2 linked regions of the Diceros bicornis minor genome follow. The protein of the gene in region 2 purifies or fractionates together with the protein of the main gene of each other region. This does not show direct contact. Links are inferred from orthologs where the notes say so. Each region holds a gene or a part of one and is shown on either strand. Other genes may lie near its edges.

Region 1 (10,581 bases), on a different chromosome or scaffold from region 2:
CCCGGGCTGCCGCAGCGGAGCGCGCATTTAACCACTGGCTGCCGCAGCGGAGCGCGCATTTAACCACTTGCGCCACCGGGCCGGCCCCACAAATTATAGTTAAGAGGAAGGTCAGGAGTCATTTCTGTGAAGTGAAGAAGTTTATGCGTTTTCTTCCCATGTTTATCCTGGCCTGATTATTAGAACATATTCCTTCATAAAGCATTGTCTGCTCATTCCAGCTGGAAATTTTCTCTCCTTTTTTTGAACCACTACAATATGTTATTTGTATTTCTGCTATGGCACTTACCACATTTTAATTTGTATTATTAGCTTCTGTAGAAGTGTCTTATTTCTCTTTCAATGTTCCTGGAGGAGAGATCTTTCAAAGAATTATCACATTACCTTGTACGTAGTAAGTGCATAATAAATGTTACATAATAGTAGACAAGTTATCATCAAATAATGTCTCTCAAAATATGGACTCCTTGCATCAGCTACCCTGGGTGCTTGTTAAAATTCAGATTCCCAGGCCACGCTCCAGCTCTACTGAAGCAGAATCTCTAGGTGTGAAACTGGGAACCCACGTTTTAATGAACTCACTACAGCTTGAGAATAGACAATTCCTAGACACTATGAATTTCAGGGTATGATAGTTATATTAAGGTGTGGGATGGCAAATAGGTTTTATCTTGATTGTTGACTCTGGTTCCAGGTGCTGCTGAGTAGAATTCTGAGGCTGAGGCTAAACTCTGGGAACCCGTGGCGTTTAAGAGGGATGCCCGCCATGGCCAAGTGAAGGATGGGGTGGAGAAGTTTGTGTGCAGCATACTTAACATTTCTGAATGTGTTAATCTCAGGCGTGGAGAGAGTGTCCCCACCCTCCTAAAAATAATCACAAGCTGTCCTTGCAGAAGTGTTAGCGTCTGCAAGATTTTTCTAAAATTTTCGTGGAAATCCCAGGAAATGGGGTTTTCGGGGTGGCATATGCAGACTTCAAAGAAAAATGATAACGTCTTTTGAGAAAATTTCATCCACCAAAAGCTTATTTTACTTAATGAAATTAAGCATTAGCTAAACAACACAAGGAGACCAATTAACTGCGAATATTATTTTTTGTTTTAGTTGTTACTAATAAGGCAAGGAAGAAACATGGGCGTTCCTTGTAGAGTCTTGCATGGAACCTCCTTTCCTGCTTGTGCTTTCTTTCTTTTTTATTATTAAATATACTATTTATAATCATTGAAGAAATTTAGAAAATATAGATGGGAAAAAAATCCCCTAAAAGAGCAGCACCATGTGATAATGTCTGCTAAAAGTTTCGACGCACATATATAAAGTCTGTTTCTGTATAACGTTGAGTGCAACCTTGAGAGGACTAAGCAGCTGCATAGTGTATAACTGAATGAGTTACACACTTCTCTGAAGGTCAGCCTTGTCATCAGTAGCGTAGGGACGACAACTGCCACCTGGCTTGTGTCTCCAGGTTGTGTCAGGATCTCTCACGAGAGTGTGTGTCTCCAAGGACAGAAACATGTAGGAATTATCTTTAACTTCTGAGGATTTAGCACAGAGCCTGACACACTGGAGGCCCTGGAGAATTTGCTGTGCCTGCCATTGAGCTGCTTCCCATCTTAATTCACTGAACTGCGCTGGTTCTCTGGAGGATAACCAGGGAACCCCTTGCTACATACAAAGGTGTTCCTCAGTCCTCATCCTCTGACCTCTGACTTTTGTAATTTTCTTCCTGCCTCTCTGCTTTTTTGCTACCTCTTCTTTCCTATTTTACTCCCTATTTGTGGTTGTCTTTAAATATCTGCTATAACTCCTTGCTTTTCTATATATTTCCTAATGAACTCATCTACTTTAATGGTATCAACTATGACCTCTGTGCTGGCAACTCTCAAATATTTACCTGCAGCTTGCTATATTAATCTTCTAGCCTCAAATTTCCCTGATGTTTAATCATTTTTTTAAAAATTTTATATCAGTCAGGGTCACAACAGGAAAAAGATGGCACATTCAAAGTGGGTAATTGAGGACAGTTTAGGAAGGGGAATATTAACAAACCTGTAGACAGGGTTTAGGAGAAGCAAAAAGGGATGGTGTTGTTGAAGAGAAAATAAAGACAAAGACATCAGGAATTGAGTGGTGTGTGGAAGAGTGTTACTGTAAAGAAGGGGACCGGATCTAGGCTCTGAGGGCTGAAAGCAGGGAAGGAGAAAGATGGTAGTTCTTTTTAAACCAAAAGACCTCTCTTGGTATTAGGAAAGTGAAGTCTCTGAGTGTTGCTGATTAGCTGGGAGTATCTGGCCTACCAGTTAGAGGAGAGCTTGCTGTGTGGCTGGAGATGGTTCCTTCTATAAGTATGGAAGCCCATCTAGGAATTATGGGTTTCAGGTACCTCTGCTTCTTCTGAGAGATCCTGGCCTTGGGATTTTGGTGGCCAGTGTCTCTGCTTCTGTTGTGCAGTCAGGTCTGCAACAGCAGCAGCAGGCCAGGTGGGCAGGCCAGGGTTTCTCAGCTAGTATGCTGGTGCTACCAACAGCCAGGAGTGATTCCTACCCCTAGGCCTGAAGGGACAAGGGAAGACAGTGGTCACAGGAACACAAAAAGGGTAATGGTATGAAGAGCCTCCCGACAGGAGCTATGGCGGCCTTTGGTAGAGATACAATCAACCTGTGTCAACACAGCAGGATGAGAGCTGAGAGAATTCATAACTGGATCTCACTCTCTTTTACCCTTAAATCTCCAAGAAGCAGCTCCCACAAGGGATTCTATTGGTCCAGTCATTATAGGTCAGTATCCTGGGGCTAAGAGGAGGGTGAAGAAAGGTTGAGAGTGGATGTGAAGGGACACATGGAAAATAAACAACAAAATGCCCTCACATATCTGACTTTTACAATGCCTCTTTTTATCTTGCCTTTCAGGAATCTATGGGTTTCTAGAGTCTTGCTTTCATAAACACCTTCCCCCCTTAATATTTACTTTAGCTGCCTTAGTTGAGACTCTTTCTGTTTGCTTTTTAGACAAAACTGGGAGGACCATTGGTAATAATAATAATCCATCTGTTATGTACTGAGTTGTGTCCCCCCAAAATTCATAGGTTAAAGCCCTAACCTCCAACATGACTATATTTGGAGATAGGGCCTTTAGGAAGTAATTAAGGTTTAATGAGGTCATAAGGGTGGGGCCATAGGACTAGTGTCCTTACAAGAAGAGGAAGAGACATCAGGGATATGTGTGTGCACAGATAGAAGGCCACATGAGGACACAGTGAGAATGCGGCTATCTACAAGCCAAAGAGAGAGGCCTGAGGAGAAACCAACCCTGTTAGGCACCTTGATCCTGGACTTCCAGACTCCAGAACTGTGAGAAATAAATTTCTGTTGTTTAAGCCACCGAGTCTGTGGAATTTTGTTATGGCAGCCATTGCTAATATATTGTCGTTTATAAACATCTTTTATCGAGCACCTTATGTTCTAGTTCTTTGTGTACATCATCTATTATTACCTTTAACCCTCACAACCTTAGATAGTAGTTACTATTATTTTTTTGTGTGTGAGAGGAAGATCAGCCCTGAGCTAACATCCGTGCTAATCCTCCTCTTTTTGCTGAGGAACACCGGCTCTGAGCTAACATCTATTGCCAATCCTCCTCCTTTTTTCACCCCAAAGCCCCAGTAGATGGTTGTATGTCATAGTTGCACATCCTTCTAGTTGCTGCATGTGGGACGTGGCTGGAGAAACGGTGCGTCGGTGCGCGCCTGGGGTTCCGAACCCAGGCTGCCAGTAGCGGAGCGCGCGCACTTAACTGCTAAGCCACGGGGCCGGCCTGAAAGTAGTTATTATTAAGCCAATTGTCACAGACAAGAAAGCTGAGGTTCAGAGAGGTTAGTGGCTTGACCATGGCCAAAAAATAATAAGTAGCAGAGCATTATTATTGGAACTTCTGTCTTATTTGTCTCTAAAGCCATTACCCTGTGCTGGTATCACGTGAGAAAGGAATGTATTTTCTATGGCTCTGCTCTGGTTGGGTTGTTAGGAATAGTTATTTTATGTTTTTGCAGCACCCTTAGCCTTCTCTTTTCACACTTCTTGGGCTTCAATTATCACATAAACTACTGAATCTCAAGTCAGTAACCTTAGACTACTCTTTTTTTTTTAGCTCCAGACTCATTCTTCCTACTACTTAACTGTGCACCTCACCTGGATGTCCTGCAGGCATCTTAACTCAGTAAAAAGAGCCACAAGATTGACATATTTGCATTATCCTAGACTCCTTCCTCTGTCATTTCACTAAATTGGTCCAATTGGTCACTAAACCTTGTGATTTTTATCTTCTAATTGTTTCTCAAATATATCATTTCCTCTTCGTGTCCACTGCAGCTGCTCCCATAACTCAGTTCCTGGATTACCACAGTAACCTCCTAAACTAGTCTCACTGTCTTCCATCCTCCTCACTGCTACCGCAGGGCTTTTTCTAAAGTGTAATCACAAAACTGCCCTGCAGTGATTACTCCACTGGTTTCATGTTACAAATTCCTTTTGCTCCTCTGATCTGACCTCCTCTTCGGTTTCATCTCCTCAGCTAAATCCAAAAGCAAATCATTTCATGTCATCTAGCCTAATATTTCAAGGAGCAGGGGAGTGTTAAGACTGCCTTGAGTGCTTGCTTGACTTTCTACGAGGTGTGTGAACTTGGGAAAATTAGTCTACTCATGAAATAATAATAGAACCTACTTCACAGGGTTGTTGTGAGGATTAAATGAGCTAATATACATAAAGAACCTGTATCTTGTCTGGCATATAATTTGTTAAATATTAGCTATTAATATCAGCCCTCTCAACCCATGCATTTGCTCTGCTGGTTCCTCTGCCTAGAATACCCCTGTCATCTCTCAGCATCTGGCAAACCCTTTCTTTATCAAGATTCAGTTTAGGGGTCACATCTCCTAGCACATTTACCCTGCTCCATCCTCCTATCTCATTGCAAATTTCTTTGCTACTGTAACCATTGTTTGCGTCTATCACTAGACTGCGAGCTTCCCAAAGGTAGGATGGTGCTTTCATTTTTTTCAGGCAAAACTTAAAGACAGGTGCATATTTTCTAGATGACTGCACAGACAGCGCCCACGCGTAATGAAACCCGTAAATATGTTTCTAAAGTCTATTTCATCTAGTGTGGCGACTTGCCCGAATATGAGACACGACTATCCTCAAAGTACTTCCAGGAGGCCTTAAGACCTTAGACAGTACCTATGCACCCCGTAGAAAATGGGGTTCCCTTTCCACTTTCCCACCCCAAGGAGACTCCCGGCTAAAAGCCTCGGGTTTTGGAACCGCGGAGGAATACATGAACTTTTGAGTCTCAGTCTGCGCCTGCGCTGGTGACCGCTACCCGTCCGCGCCCACGCCACTCAGCCAGCGTGGGGCTCCTTAGCCGAGGGTGGGGCCACGGCTCGCGTTTTAGGATTGGGTGGTGGAAGCCAAAGCAGACGGCGCGGAAATGACGCCAAGGTGCGCAAGCGCCGGGGCCGTGGCGCGCGGGGGCTGCTGGGTGCCGCAAGCCTTTCCTCCCTCCGCGTCTCCCCTCCCCCGCCCGTCCCCGCCCCCTCGGCCGCTGTGCTCCCTGGCGTGACTCGGCACTGCGAGCCCCGGGAGAAGACGTCGCGGCCGCCACCTTCTCGGTCCAGGCCTCGGCCTTCCTGAGCCTCCCCCCTTCGTCTCGTGGGTCGTCTTTTCCTTCCGTTTCGAAGCCGGTGGCGTCGCGGCCGCCCTTGCCGGGCTCTCTGAGAATGGTGGGAGTGAAGCCGGTCGGGAGCGACCCGGATTTCCAGCCGGAGCTGAGCGGCGCGGGCTCTAGACTCGCCGTGGTCAAGTTCACCATGCGAGGGTGAGGCCGGGCTCGAGCCCTGGGGCCCCGGGTGTGCGCCCGTGCTTTCCCTTCGCTCTTTCCCGGCCCCGCTCCCACGCGGTCTCCTTCTGCTCCGGAATGTCCGGCGCTGACCGCAGCCCCAGGCCGCTGCCCAGTTAGGCCTCGGCTCTTGGGTGTGACCCCCCATTCGTGCACCAGGGCGTCTGTGGCGGGCATAAAGGCCTGGCCGGCGGTGTTCCCCAGCCCCAGCCCAGGAGATCCCCGCCCGCACCTTTTCAGTCATCAGACCGGCTCTGCTCTTGGGGGTGGTACGTCTCCGTTCTTTCTAGTCTGCGCGACTGTCCCCTTCTTTCCGGGGAGCCAGCTGTCACTTGCATCTTAGAAACTCTGCAGTCTTAATTTACCGAACACTTTGGTTCTCTTCACCACCTGGATATCTGTAAAGCCTTTGGGAGATTCAGATGGGGCTGTCCAACTGATCCGCATAGTGCTTAGTCCTAAGGCTAACCTAATGCATTTTAAATTAAGTTAATGCTGAGTCAGGATGCTTTTTAATTTTCTTAGTGTTTTTGTTACTCGTTTGGTTAGTAACTTTGTACTTTGTACTTTGGGCTCCCCTTTGTATGCGATTGCGTCTGATCACAGAAATTATGGTAGGTGTATATATACACAATACAGGTAGACAGGTGTCCAGAGGTCTGGGTTTGACCAAATAAACTCCATTTTTGACTTGATTTTCGAGGACAGGGATCTTGAAAGATGTTAACTGTCTTTGGTAAATCTCAACGTAATTTATAGGTCGTAGAGCTAGTGGATCTTCCATATTGGGTGTGCAGTGTTCCTGTGTGAGAGTGACACGTTGGAACTAGGCATTCAGAACCAAGATTTCAGCCAGTGTGTGTGTTCACTGAGCTCCCCTTGTGTATGTCAGTGCCTAGTCAGAAGGATTAGAGGTCTCCACTAATTTGCCTTGACTCCTTGGCATTATTTACACTTACACTAACTTGGAGAAATCTACTACAGGTACCACTGTTTATGTAACACATTTTATTGTCCAAGTAACTATAAACGTAAGGCATTATTTTAAATTTCAAAGCAACAAGTGTAGTTCCAGGCACAGGATTCAGTCAATGTTGAGTATGTAAGTGGTGCCATTAGGATTAGCTAGTTTTGGGATGGAAGTATGCAGATAGAGATGAGAGAAAGCTAGGACGTATTTTTGGACCAGTCTCTCTTATACAGAATTGAAAAGGGGCAGTACATTGGATTTTGTAGGGTGGAATAGAGTACTCGTTTGACATGTGAACTTTCACATTTACTAAACTGAAGAGGATAAAGATTTCATGTATAAAGACATGTTTAAAAGAAATGTCAAAATTCTGTAAGTGTGTCTCCCCAGCTTTAGCAATTTTGTGATGTCTGTGTTCTTAATGTGGGGGAATACCTGTACATTTGTTAAGTACTTACGCCAAAGTTGGAAAAGGGAAGAGATGATTTTAACAGTGAATCTCATTTTTAGTTCACTTTTCTAATTCTAGTCAGTGGGAGCATTTAGACTTTTGTCCCTCAATGATATACTCTTTTTTTCCCTTACCATAGCAGAGGGAGCGATGACAAAGGAATAAATAATTTCTTAATTAAAGTGAGAAAAGTGGGGAAACATTGCTACTAAGGAAACACTTCCATTAGCAGCATGGTATCATTTAACTGTAAACATAACTGCAGGTATTGGTTGATAAGGCACTGTGTTCTTATTTACTTTTAAAAAGGTATTTTGGTGGATGAAAATTTTATTTTGTTTGTAGGAACTGAGAGCAAACAAATAAAATGTTTGAATTTAGAGAACTTTTAAGTTCAGAAGCATATTTAGGTAACATTCATAAGTCTGATAAGATTGTGTTTGCCTTTCAAGTTCAACGTTTTGGCCATTCATTAATGCATTCCTGTGCCAGTGTGACCCCAGATTTATATACATGGGCATCAGTATTAGACCCTCAAACAGCTATATCCAGTAAAATCGTGTAAGAAACCTCTCAGGTCAAAGTTAATGTCCCATTTTAGGCCAGGAACATAGTTTCCTCCAGCACCTATTTCTTAACCCTAGTTTAAGCCTTATTCGTTATGCTCTACTTCTGTGCTTTATCCATCGTGTTAATTTTACTAAAACACTATACAGATTGTTGCTCTTCTGTTTAAGGGTCTTCAGTGCCTCTCCAGTATATTTTTTCAGTTGTTTTTTTAACTGTAGTAAAATATGTGTAACATAAAATTTACCATTTTAACCATTTTTAAGTGTAGCATTCAGTGGCATTAAGTACATTCACAATATTGTACCACTCTCACCATTATCTGTTTCCTAGATTTTTTTTTTTTTGTCATCTCAGACAGAAACTCTGTACGCATTAACAATAACTCCCAGTCTCCGCCTGACTCCACCCCACCAGTCCCTGGTTACCTCTCTTCTACTTTCTGTCTCTATGAATGTGCCTGTTCTTGGTATCTCGTATAAGTGAAATCATACAATATTTGTCCTTTTGTTTATGGCTTATTTCATGTAACATAATGTTTTCAAGGTTCATCCATGGTAGTAGTGTGTGTCAGGATTTCTTTCCTTTTTAAAGCTGAGTAATACTCCCATTGTACGTATATACACATATTGTTTATTGATCTGTCGGTAGATATTTAGGTTGTTTCTGCCTTTTGGCTATTGCGAATCATCCCGCTATGAACATTGTTCTGCAAGGATCTGTTTGAGTCCCTGCTTTCAGTTCTTTGGGGGATATACCTAGGAGTGGAATTGCTGGATTTTATGGTAATTCTATGCTTAACTTTTTGAGAAATCGCCAAACTATTTTCCACAGTGGCTGCACCATTTTGCATTCCCACCAGCAATGAATGAGAGTTCCAATTTCTCTACATACTTGCTACTCACTAACACTTTTTATATTTTAATAGCCATCCTAAATGAGTGTGAAGTGGTATCTGGTGGTTTTGGTTTGCATTTCCTTAATGACTAATGATGTTGAGCATCTTTTCATGTGCTTATTGGATATTTTTTATCTTCTTTGGAGAAATGTCTATTCAAGCCCTTTGCCCATTTTGAATTGCACTGTTTGTTTTTTTGTTGTTGAGTTGTAAGAGTTCTTTATATATTTTGGGTGTTAATCCCTTATCAGAGAAGATTGGCAAATATTTTCTCCCATTTTCACTTTCTTGGTAGTGTCCTTTCATGCACAAAGTTTTAAAATTTTGATGAAGTCCAGTTTATATATGTTTTCTTTTATTGCTTGTGCTTTTGGTGTCATATCCCAGAAATGATTGCCAAATTCAATGTCCTGAAGATTTTCCCCTATGTTTTCATCAAAGAATTTTATGGTTTTAGCTCTTAAGTTTAGGTCGTTGATCCATTTTGAGTTAATTTTTGTATAAGGTGTAAAGTAAGGGTCCAACGCATGGGGATATCCAGTTTTCCCAGCACCATTTGTTGAAAAAACTGTCTTTTCCCCAATGAATGGTCTTGGCACCCTTCTCCAGTGTTTTTTAAAGCAATTCAAATAGTTAACATTTACATATTATTTAGTCTGTGTAAGGGACTTGTGTAAGCAGTTATATTGACTCATTCAGTCCTCAAAATAATCTTTGAAATTATCCCCATTTTACAAATGAGCAAGTTAGAGGTTAAATAACTTGTTTAAGGTCCCATTGCTGAGTGCACTATTTGGATTGTTAAATGCCATCCTTGCTCTCCCAGCCTAAGCAGAAAGGAAATGCAGGTTCATCTCTGTGTATTGCATGGAGCCTGACATTTTTCAGTAAATGTTGCCTTGAATGATTTAGCTACACCTCTGCCTGCAAACTAATCTTATGACTGAGGACAATTCAGTTCACTCTCTGAAATTCTTTTCCCTACCTGAAAAATGGGAATAATAACATGTAACCTAACCATATTATTTAGAAAATGAAATTATATATGTGAATTATATCCTGTGGTAACATGTTTTTATAACTGTTATCTCCAAATTGTTACCTCTTAAATATACCCAGACACATTTTAGTGGTTATAAGCAGTGCCAGTTTTGTTGTTATCATTGGTGAGTAAGCTCCAACTTTTCACATTTTCTCCCCAATAAAACTCAGTATGAATGATTTTTGTCTTGAATTCATGAATGTATCACTTCTGTAGATATGTTAACCATATATCCAATTTTTTTAAAGGAGGTCTTTGTAGTTGGTTAGGTGTTATTGTTGCTATCCAAAAAGAATGTCAGTGTATATTAGGATTTTGAGTTCTAATGGTTATGGTAGTTTGTCCAAAATAATACATTATATATGTAGTATTAATTATATATTGCAAAATTGCTTCAGACTGAAAGTAGTTGACCGTATTACAGAGTTAGCAGACCCAACAGTCCATAAGGACCAGGCAGATAGTGAGCTGCAAGTTAACTAGGGCATGATGAGGCCCTAGAGAAGATATAAAGAATTTTTTTTAAGTAAACTTTTTTTTATTGAAGTATAGCATGCATACAAAAATGTACACAAATCATTTAAGTGTATAATTTGATAAATTTTCAAAGTGGTTACTCCTGTTTAACCAACACCAACACTCTGCAATCCCCTCCCCTCCTCCAACCTCCTGCAGGCTCCTTCTCATCACTTTTTTTTTTTTTGTGGGAAAGATCAGCCCTGAGCTAACATCCTTGCTAATCCTCCTCTTTTTGCTGA
Region 2 (10,769 bases):
ACCTCCATCGTAACAACTTAAACTTGACAAGGAAAAGCTGTGAATGGATGTGAAGGGAACTACTGTAGGTCTGTTGCCCCGTAGGTTGCAACCCACTTTAACTGAGGGATTTGGGGATCCAAAGCTCAAAATCTTAGGTTTAGGAAGAAAGGAGAGAGAGAGTGGGAAAAGCAAGCTTGAGATTGGCCCTAGGATTCCCTCCCTTTCCTTCCCCTGATCTGGCCCTGGAGTGTCACTCTTAGAAAGCATAGAAGCTGATGCCTTCAGCTCTGTGTTTCCTCTTCTGTGAGGTTGAGCTTAGGCCTTTTACTGTGGTGGAAGACTAGACAAAAAGGGGGGCTCGCTCTAAGGTATGTGGGTGGGGGAACTTTGGAGAGAAGCAAGTTAACTAAGTATTGCTCTTTTCCACACCACTATTCCCGATCTTGCTAAGATCATTCTATAGATATTTAAGCAGCAGCTAAGGAGCAATGCACTGGGTAGTTGGAGATCTAAAGAAGTAATCAAGCTTCAAGAGTTTATAGTATCCAGGAGGAGCACACACACATAGGTGTACACAAAAACATGTCAGATGTGATACAATTAAGGATTTCAGTTCTCTGAAGAAGTGGTACAGAACATAAAGGTAGAAGAAAATTAGAGGTTACTGTGGGCTAGAAGTGTTGGGGCAGGTTTCACTTGAGCTCGAGGGTCTAGAGGTATCAGAAAAGCAATGTGGAGGGAGACCTGAGTGAGAATACTGGAATAGGTATAGGTGGAGGTAACAGTGGAAACCCTGACTGCTAGGCTGAGGAATTTTTATTTTAAACAGTAGGCAGTAGGCGACAGGGAACCATAGAATGTTTTTGCCCTTAAGTAGGACGTAGAACACAACAAAATAATTCAGAGATGAGTCTGTTCACAAAGTTCTATCAAAGTAGATAGAAAAAGCAGACTGGCTAGACTATAATAATTTAGGTGTGAGGTGTTGTGAGTCTAGGATGATGGTGATATCAATTGGAGAGGAAGGGAGAGAATTGAGACGGTAATAAAAAAAGAAAGCTTTATAATAGAACAAGTAATAGGAGTGAAGAGGGAATTGGGGATTCTCAAAAAAAAAAATTTTTTTTTTTTGGAAGAATATTAGCCCTAAGCTAACGTCTGTTGCCAATCCTCTTTTTTTGCTGAGGAAGATTGGCCCTGGGCTAAAGTCTGTGCCCATCTTCCTCTACTTTATATGGGACGCCGCCTCAGCATGGCTTGATCAGCGGTGCGCAGGTCTGCCCCAGGATCTGAACTCGCGAACCCCAAGCAGGGGGAGCAGAGTGAGCGAACTTAACTGCTACACCACCTGCCCGGCCCCTCAAAGTTTTGAATTTGAGTTTAAGCCACAGGCTCAGCCCTCCTTTAGGCTGGATCAGGAGAAAACTTCTCTAACAGGGATTGAATCCAAACATGTTTTAGGCATAAATGGTCGTTCTGCTACCCTTACCTTGTCACTCCCTCGTCAACATAGGCAACTGCTGAGTGGGTACAGTAGATACCCTCTTATGGTTAGAGGGTCCCTCTAGTGGTGAGCATTAGCTGCTACTTATTCTATAACTAGGCTGCAATCTATTTTCATATGCAAGTAGGGCCTATTGTAAAACTTCTATAACTAAAGTTAGGAAAATCAAAACCGTAGGATAATAAAGCTGGAAATCCTAGTCTAATGTTTTACCCTTAAGCATGTCAATCTCAGCTATTCTGAAAGTTACTCAGCAGAGTTGGAGTCTTATTCATTCTTTAAACAAAGATTTGCCAGTTAAAACAGATTTCAGATTAAAATGTTTTTTTCTTTAGTTTTTCAAGGACACAAAAAGCAGGTCAATATCATCTCCTGCAAAATAATTTCTTAAAAGTCCATTATAAAGCATCTCCTTGCTGTTTCCAATTTCTCTCCTCTCTTTTAAAAAATTTTTTATTATGGAAATTTCCAAATGAAAAGTTTAGTAGTTTAATGAACTGCCATGTATGCATTACCCAGCTTCAATAATTATCAACATAAATAAGGCCAATCTGTTTCATCTATACTTTCTACCTCACCCCTACTTTCTTGCTGTACCTCCAAAGGATTAAGTTAAAATAAATCCCAGACATCATATCCTTTCATCCATAAATATTTCAACAAGTAACTCAAGAGATAAGGACTCTTCTTAAAAACATAACTATGACATTATCATGCCTTAAAAAACTAATAATTTCTTAATAACAAATACCCAGTCAGTGGTCAAAGTTAGTCAATTGTCTTACAAATGAATTTTTACAAATAGTTTTTTTGACCCCAATCTCTGTTGAATACACTCCAAGTTTTTGCCCCCACCACCCAACCAAAGTATCTTTTACTAAAGTCGCTGATGACCTCTGTGTTGCTAAATATATCACTCCTCATCTTACTTGACATGTCAACAGCATCTGATAGTTTATTACTCCCTCCTTGAAACATTTTCTTCACTTCGCTTCTGGGATACTACTTTCTCAGGTTCTTACTAAGATGCTGTGCTGCTGCATCTCCATCCTCTTTTGGTTCCTCTTCTCTGTAACCTTTAAATGTTGAAGCATCCCAGGACTCAATCATAGGACTCCTTCTTTTAGTCTACATTCACTCCCTAGGTAATTTTAAAAAGCCCTTACAGTGGCCTAAAGATCCTGAACAATTTGTCCAACTCCCTTGTCACCTCATGATCTAAATACCATCTAAATATCAGCTAAAAACTCTCAAATTTCTATCTGCAGCCCAGACCTTTTTTCTGAACTGCAAACTCGTATATCCACCTGCTTATTTGACATCTCCATCTAGGTATCTTAAACCTAACATGTCCAAAAGCTGAATTTCTGGTTCCCACCCCTCCTAACTCATCTTTAGAAATAGTGACTCCATTCTTCTAGTTGCTTAGAACCAACTCTGGTGTCTTCCTTAAGACTCCCTTCTTTTACATCCTCCATTAAATCCATTGGCAAATTCTGTCAGTTTGTGCCTTTATGATATACTCGAAATCCTACCACATGTCACCATTTTCACCTCTTGTTACTGCCCTAGAATAAGCCTCCATCATATCTGATCACTGAAGTAGTCTCCTAACTGGTCTATCTCCATCCCCCCTTTTTCCCCAGTCTGTTCTCAATGCAGCAGCCAGAGTGATCCTATTAAAACCTTGTCAGATCCGTCAAGCCTCTGTTGAAAACTTTCCAGCAGCTCCTCATCTCACTCAGGGTCCTTAAAATGATCTATGAGGCTGTACATGATCCAACCTCTCTTTACTCCCTCTGCCTCTCTGGTCTCATTTCTTCTCTCTCCCTCCACTCCAGCCTCTACTGGCCTCCTTGTTCTTAAGTACACTCTTGCCTGAGGCATTTGCACTTACTCTTTCACCCAGGTATCCTTCAGGTCTCTGTTCAAATGTAAGTCTTTCCTAATATCCTATTTACGTAAAATAGAAACCACATCCACTCAGGTTTGTTTTTCTCTGCACTGCCTACCATTAATTGACAATACTGTAGTTCCCCCTTATCCGCGGTTTCACTTGCCGTGGTTTGTTACCTGAAATCAACCACAGTCCAAAAATATTAAATGGAAAATTCCAGAAATAAACAATTTGTAAGTTTTAAACTGCACACCATTTTAAGTACTGTGATGAAATCTTGCGCTGTCCACCTCCCATCCCACCCAGGATGTGAATCATCCATTAGCCCAGCATATCCACGGTGTATATGCTACCAGCCCATTACTCACTTAGTACTCATTTCGGTTATCAGATTGACTGTATCCCAGTGCTTGTGTTCAAGTAACCCTTATTTTACTTAATAATGGCCCCAAAGCCAATTTTATTATTTATTGTTGTTAATCTCTTACAGTACCTAATTTATAAGTTAAATTTTAGCATATGTATGTATGTATAGGAAAAAACATAGCATATATGAGGTTTGGTACTATCTGTGGTTTCAGGCAACCACTGGGGGTCTTGGAACAGATCCCTCAAGGATAAGGGGGGTCTACTGTATATATATTTACTTATTGGTTTATTGCTACCTTCCCCCATGGAATGTAAGCTCCCTAAGGGCAGGATTTTGTTTTGTTCCCTTCCAAGTGCCCAGAATAGTTCCTGGCCCACAGGTAAATGAATGAATTGTTTGTTTGTTTTTGTGAGGAAGATCAGCCCTGAGGTAACTTCCCATGCCAATCCTCCTCTTTTTGCTGAGGAAGACTGGCCCTGGGCTAACATCCATGCCCATCTTCCTCCACTTTATATGGGACGCTGCCACAGCATGGCTTGATGAGCGGTGCATCGGTGCGCGCCCAGGATCTGAACCTGCAAACCCCGGGCCACTGAAACGGAGCAGGTGCACTTAACCTATGCGCCAGCGGGCCGCCCCCTGAATGAATTATTTTTGTTTTTGCTTTTTTCATTATAGAGCTTTTGTTTTACTTAAATATGATCCTATCATCTTTTGTGTGCATTGTTGCAGCTTACATATCTCTTAATTGAGAAGCTTCTGACACGGTTCTAATAGGATATCTTCTCTATTTGAAGAAAGTTTTAGTTCTCCATTCTCCAGGTTGAATCAAATCGTCCTTATTAAGACCTATTTTTCACTATCTCATTTTTTTATGGTCACTATATTTTTGTCTTCTTCGCAATATCTCCATAGACTTTTAAAAGTGTACTAACTAAAAACTGGTCACAATCTATTAAATGTCTGACTAAAGCTGAGAAGGTGACACCTCTCTGCACAGATATCATGGATCATGTTTTCCCAGAACAGTGATGACGGTATTCGTTCAGTTCCTAGTCCCTTTGTTTGGGTTGAATGTTTGTCTTTGTTTACTTCCACATTTAGAAGAATACTAACTCTGGGGTGGCCCCGTGGCTTAGCGGTTAAGTGCGTGTGCTCCGCTGCTGGCGGCCGGAGCTCGGATCCCAGGCGCGCGCTGACGCACTGCTTCTCCGGCCATGCTGAGGCCGCGTCCCACATACAGCAACTAGAAGGATGTGCAGCTATGACATACAACTATCTACTGGGGCTTTGGGGGGAAAATTAATAAATAAATAAAATCTTTAAAAAAAAAAAAAGAATACTAACTTATAATTATCCCTGATGTTCAACTTGTCTTTGGAATTGTATTATCTTGATTAACCCAGAGCATTTTTTTGTTGATGAATTTTATATGTTATGAAATATTCTTCTCTTGATCTGATTTCAGCTATTTGTGTTGATTTCTATTTTGTACAATATTAATATAGCTACACATGCTTTCTTTTATTACTATTGCCTGGTATGTTGTTTTTCCCTCTTCCTTTATTTTTACCTTTTGTCACTTAGTTTGGTGTGTCTCTATTTACATTGTGCAGCTGTTTTTTAAAAAACATAATTCTTGTCTTGTTTTTAAAATATTTTGGTTATGTTTGAACTTGTCACTAATTATTTTTCTGTGCTTTCTTATTTTTTTTCCCCTTTCCTATCTGTGGTTATGTTGACAGATTTTTTTTTCTCTGGTGATATGGAGATTTTACACCTATACAAGCTCTGATGGTTACCAATAACTTTTGAACATATCCATTAAAACTTTAGTAACATCTAGGAAATACAACACTCCTCTCTCGCATCTCTAAGTATGTGTGTGCATGGTGTGGCAGTGCCTGGTCCCTCTCTCCTTTCCCCTTTCCCTCCAAGATAGACCTGGAATTTACAGTTTTACTTGGTGTGTGTGCGTGCGCGCGCGCGTGCGTGCGTGCGTAGGGGAAAGTAATCCAAAGCATTTTTGAATGTCATTCTTGATTAACAAACCAAAATGGTTTGTTTCTCATTCTTTGGGAGATTAGTTAAAGGTGCTGATTCATCAAACCTTTTCTGGGCACCTACCGCGTGTTAGGCTCTGTAGTGGGCTCAACAATTGCAGAGATTAAGACACCTTTCCTGCCCTTAATTAAATGGGAGACACAGATACACAAATAAATGCAGTTCAGGGAGTTAAGGACTTTAGCAGTTAGATGAAAAAGTGGTATGGGGAACAAAGGGAGGTGGAACGTCATTAGTCGTGCCACCACTTTTTAAAAAGGACGATGCTAGTACAGATACATCCACAGCAGTTTCAGAGGTTTCCCTACAGCTTCTCTTAGATCCCGCCAGGAGGGAACTCCACCAGAGAACTTGAATGGTACAAAAGGTGGAGGTGGGCCCTCTTTGTGTGTGTCCCCCCCGCCCCCAAACGTCCTATTTTGGCTGCGCCTACAACTCCCAGAACGCAACGCGGAGGATGAAGGCGGAACCAGCTGGCCGAAGCGAGGTCTGTGATTGGTGGTGAGCGCCGGGCCAATTGGAGGAGTTGTTGTTAGGCGGTCCAGGAGAACCGGTCGGGGAGGGAGGAAGCTGGCAAGATGGTGTTGGAAAGCACTATGGTTTGGTGAGGAACTATCTCGGGGCTCCGTGGGGGGCGGGATTGGGTAGGGGGCGCCTGTCGCGCGGAGGCCGGACGGGCCTGAGGAGGAGGAGGGGGGCTGATGGGCGAGATGCGGCCTTGGGCCGGGAGGGAAGGAGCCGCATCGACTTCCTGAGTCATCCCGAGGCCGGGAGAAGAGGACAGGCCCGGGGTACCCCCCATTAACCCTCAACCTGCAGACAGCCAGTGACCGGCCGATCCCTGCTACCTTTCTTTATTCCGCGTCATCTTCCCTAGACCAGCCTCAGGTCTGTCTGTAGCCAGAGTCTTGTTTCTCGGACTTATCGTTATAGTTTTCTGCCCTCCTGTCTTCTTGTTTAAATAAAGGATGTTAGGAAGAGAGATTATAAATCCCTTCCCTGCCCCATTCCCTCTAACTCCGTTACCTTTCCCTGTATCATCTTCGAAGGTACTGTTTATAGATTGCTTTCTGTGTGTCAGACATTAATTTACTTTATCTCACTTAAACCTCACAACACTTCAAGGTAAATATCTCTCCATTTTACAGATGAAGATACCGAGTCTCAGCAATTTTAAATGACTTACCCAAAGTCACACAGCTAATTAAGTGGTGGAGCCAAGGTTTAAACCCAGGGCTATCGGATACAAAGGCTTCTGTCTGGTGAGCTAGCTCTCTTCATCAGTCGCAGACTTGGGCTGAGTGTTATGAGTTGGATTAGAAGCTGAGGACACAAACTTTTGCAAGGTTTCAAGAGTTTCTTCCAAGTGTGAGCATAGAGTATAATACAGACTAGTACACACACACAAATTGCCAGTTGGATGGAGCAGACACCTAAGAGTTTCCTTTTTTGGGGGAGGATAGCACTGCCAGATAAAATATAGGATGCCCGTTTAAATTTGGATTTCAGGTAAATAATACATTTTAATATAAGAAAATGGCAATAAGTGTGTCCCAAATAGTACATGAGACATACTTAGCCTAAAATCTTGTTTGTTATTTATCTGAAATTCAGATTTAAACTGGGAGTCTTGTATTTTTATTTGCTGAATCTGGCAACCTCTGGAGAGAACATGTTAGAGTAGAAAGAGGACAGGATTTGGAATCCCAAAACCTGTGTTTTTTGGTACTTCCCAGCTGCATGTTCTTGAGAATGTAGTAAATCTCCCTTAATCTATAAAATGGGAAAAATAGTAACACTCACTTTTCTTATAGCACAGGTAGGTAAAATGTATGTGATGGTGCTCTGTAAGCTATACAGCCCTGTACATACATTAGTTGCCATGGTACTTGAGAAAAGAAAGAATTTAAGTAAGAAAGAATTTAAGAGGGGTCTGGAAGGAACTTAGACAAATGTTGAGAAGGAGAGGCCATTACAGGTAGAGGGAAGGGCATACAGCTGCTGAAGTGTAAATACCCAAGGCATATTTAGGCATTAGGAAAGAGACTAGTGTGATATATGGTTGTCAGTTTAAGGCAGTTTTTTGTTTTTTTGTGTGTTTCTTTGGAAAGGTAGATGGGACCAGGTGGAAGACCACAAATGTCAAGCTGAGGAGGTTGAACTCTGTCCTGTACCCTTCAGTAAAGAACTATTGAAAAAGAGGGTGGTGGGCCGGCCCGGTGGCGCAAGCGGTTAAGTGCGCGCGCTCCGCTGCGGAGGCCCCGGGGTTCGCTGGTTCGGATCCCGGGCGCGCACCGACGCACCGCTTGGTAAGCCATGCTGTGGCGGCGTCCCATATAAAGTGGAGGAAGATAGGCACAGATGTTAGCCCAGGGCCGTCTTCCTCAGCAAAAAAAGAGGAGGATTGGCGGATGTTAGCTCAGGGCTGATCTCCTCACAGAAAAAAAAAAAAGAAAAAGAGGGTGGTGGAGGCAGAGCTGTATATAAAATGGCATTTAATATTATTGATCTGCCTTGATGTATAGGAGGAAAGATTTGGCCCAGAGAGATATATTGATGGCCTGTTGTACTATCCCTGGCACAGAATAATGATGAGAACCACTCCTTTTGTCTGTAGGGCCTCATGCTTTGCTGTACATCAGAATTCTCTGGAGGAGTTTCTTTCTTTCTTTCTTTCTTTTTTTTTTTTTTGTGAGGAAGATCAGCCCTGAGCTAACATCCATGCTAATCCTCCTCTTTTTGCTGAGGAAGACTGGCCCTGGGCTAACATGTGTGCCCATCTTTCTCCACTTTATATGGGACGCCACCACAGCATGGCCTTACATGTGGTGTCTCGGTGCGCGCCCGGGATCAGAACCCGGGCTGCCAGCAGCGAAGCACGCGCACTTAACCGCTACACCACGGGGCCGGCCCCTGGAGGAGTTTTTTAAAAGTTGCAAATATTTGACTCTATTCTCAATCTGCTGAGTCAGACTTCTAGCCAGGGACGTCCTGGCATCTGTATTCTTTTTTTAAATGAAGATTTTTAAAATTTTTTTATTTTTTATTTTTTGGTGAGGAAGATTAGCCCTGAGCTAACATCTGTTGCCAATACTCCTCTTTTTGCTGAGGAGGATTGGCCCTGGGCTAACATCCCTGCCCATCTTCCTCTACTTTATATGTGGGACACCTGCCACAGCATGGCTTGTTAATGATAAGCTGTGCATAGGTCCACACCTGGGATCCAAACCTGTGAACCCTGGGCCGCTGAAGCGGAGCGTGTGAACTTCACCACTATGCCACCGGGCCGGCCACTTAAATGAAGATTTTGGCTGGATAATATTGTAAGCCCTTATTTATTTATTTATTTATTTATTTATTTATTTGTGAGGAAGATCAGCCCTGAGCTAACATCTGATGCCAATCCTCCTCTTTTTTGGTGAGGAAGATTGGCTCTGTGTAAGCCCTTATTTTGATATAAATTTTTGTCGAGAAAAATTACATACTGTTGAGCAAAAGTAGTCACAAGAAATACATATATTATTCCAATCATTTAAAGTTCAAAATTGGGAAAACTAAACAATGTGTTTTTTAGGGATGCATATGTAGTGTTTTTAACACCACCACCACTACCGTCACCCTCCCACTGGTTCTGATACACAACAAACTGTCAGTTCTCGCTGTCTCTCAAGCCCCCTTTCTTACTCAGACACATTTCTTCCAGCCCTCATACATCTGCTGGTCTTGCCTACAATCCTTATACTTAGTAGCTATTCCATCTGGACCATCCTCAAAGCCTCCATTGTTTTTTATATTTGGACTCACTGGATTTGAAGCTAGAGAGGCAGTTACTTCCCTGCTGGAGAATAATCAGAAGCAATGTATCAGGAAAAAAAGAATATAATGCATGATCAGTAGCGTCAGCCCTTGACCTCCTTTAGGTAGAGTTTCCATTTTAAGAACTAGTCTGTTTCATGCTTACCGTTGGACGCTGTGATAAGTACTTTCTGTGCATTTAATCTTCATATCAATCCTATAAGGGTAGGTACAATAAAGCCCATTTTACACATGAGGTAACTGGACCTTAGAGAAGTTAAGTACCTTCCTTAGGATCATAGAATTAGTAAGGAGTAGAGTGGGAATTTGAACCTGAGCCTGAATACTGCCCTTTACACCCTTTTCTACTTGCCTTCCAGTAGCTGCTGCTGCTGCTTTTTTTTTTGTGAGGAAGATCAGCCCTGAGCTAACATTCGTGCTAATCCTTCTCTTTTTGCTGAGGAAGACTGGCTCTGAGCTAACATCTATTGCCAATCCTCCTCCTTTTTTTCCCTGCTTCTCCCCAAAGCCCCAGTAAATAGTTGTATGTCATAGTTGCACATCCTTCTAGTTGCTGTGTGTGGGACGCGGCCTCAGCATGGCCGGAGAAGGGGTGCATCAGGTGTGCGCCCGGGATCCAAACCCCGGGCCGCCAGTAAGGGAGCGCGCGCACTTAACCACTAAGCCACGGGCCGGCCCCCAGTAGCTTCTTAATTAACTCTTCATCATTTTTGTTTTGTATTTATTGCCAGGCAAGGGATACTATAGAAGAAAATTGCCCCCAAGCCCATATTTTGCTTGCCATTAGAAATGAGGTGTCTCATCTAGGATGCTGCTTTCTTCCATCAACACAGATGGAATCACTGACTATTAGAATTCTAAGGGGGGCTGGCCCCGTGGCTTAGCGGTTAAGTGCGCAAGCTCCGCTGCTGGCGGCCCGGGTTCGGATCCTGGGTGCGCACCGACGCACCGCTTCTCCGGCCATGCTGAGGCTGTGTCCCCCACAGAGCAACTAGAAGGATGTGCAGCTATGACATACAACTATCTACTGGGGCTTTGGGGGAAAAATAAATAAATAAAATTATAAAAAAAAAAATAGAGTTCTAAGGGACCTTAGGTCCATCAAGAATTGATCCTGTTCAGGGGCTTATGTAACT

The links. The genes of interacting proteins can lie anywhere in the genome.
Region 1: the proteins of PSMD4 (region 2) and TXNL1 purify together in Homo sapiens (affinity purification with mass spectrometry; 3 studies listed by BioGRID, with this or other methods). This does not show direct contact. The link is inferred for Diceros bicornis minor from reciprocal best matches to the Homo sapiens genes PSMD4 and TXNL1.

What each region holds. Positions count from the first base shown.
Region 1 is NC_080755.1:48,230,363-48,240,943, reverse strand, and holds the start of TXNL1 (thioredoxin-like protein 1), read left to right. Parts: upstream 1-5,618; 5' UTR 5,619-5,776; coding exon 5,777-5,874; intron 5,875-10,581. UniProt on the Homo sapiens protein: Active thioredoxin with a redox potential of about -250 mV.
Region 2 is NC_080743.1:55,515,601-55,526,369, forward strand, and holds the start of PSMD4 (26S proteasome non-ATPase regulatory subunit 4), read left to right. Parts: upstream 1-6,331; 5' UTR 6,332-6,395; coding exon 6,396-6,421; intron 6,422-10,769. UniProt on the Homo sapiens protein: Component of the 26S proteasome, a multiprotein complex involved in the ATP-dependent degradation of ubiquitinated proteins.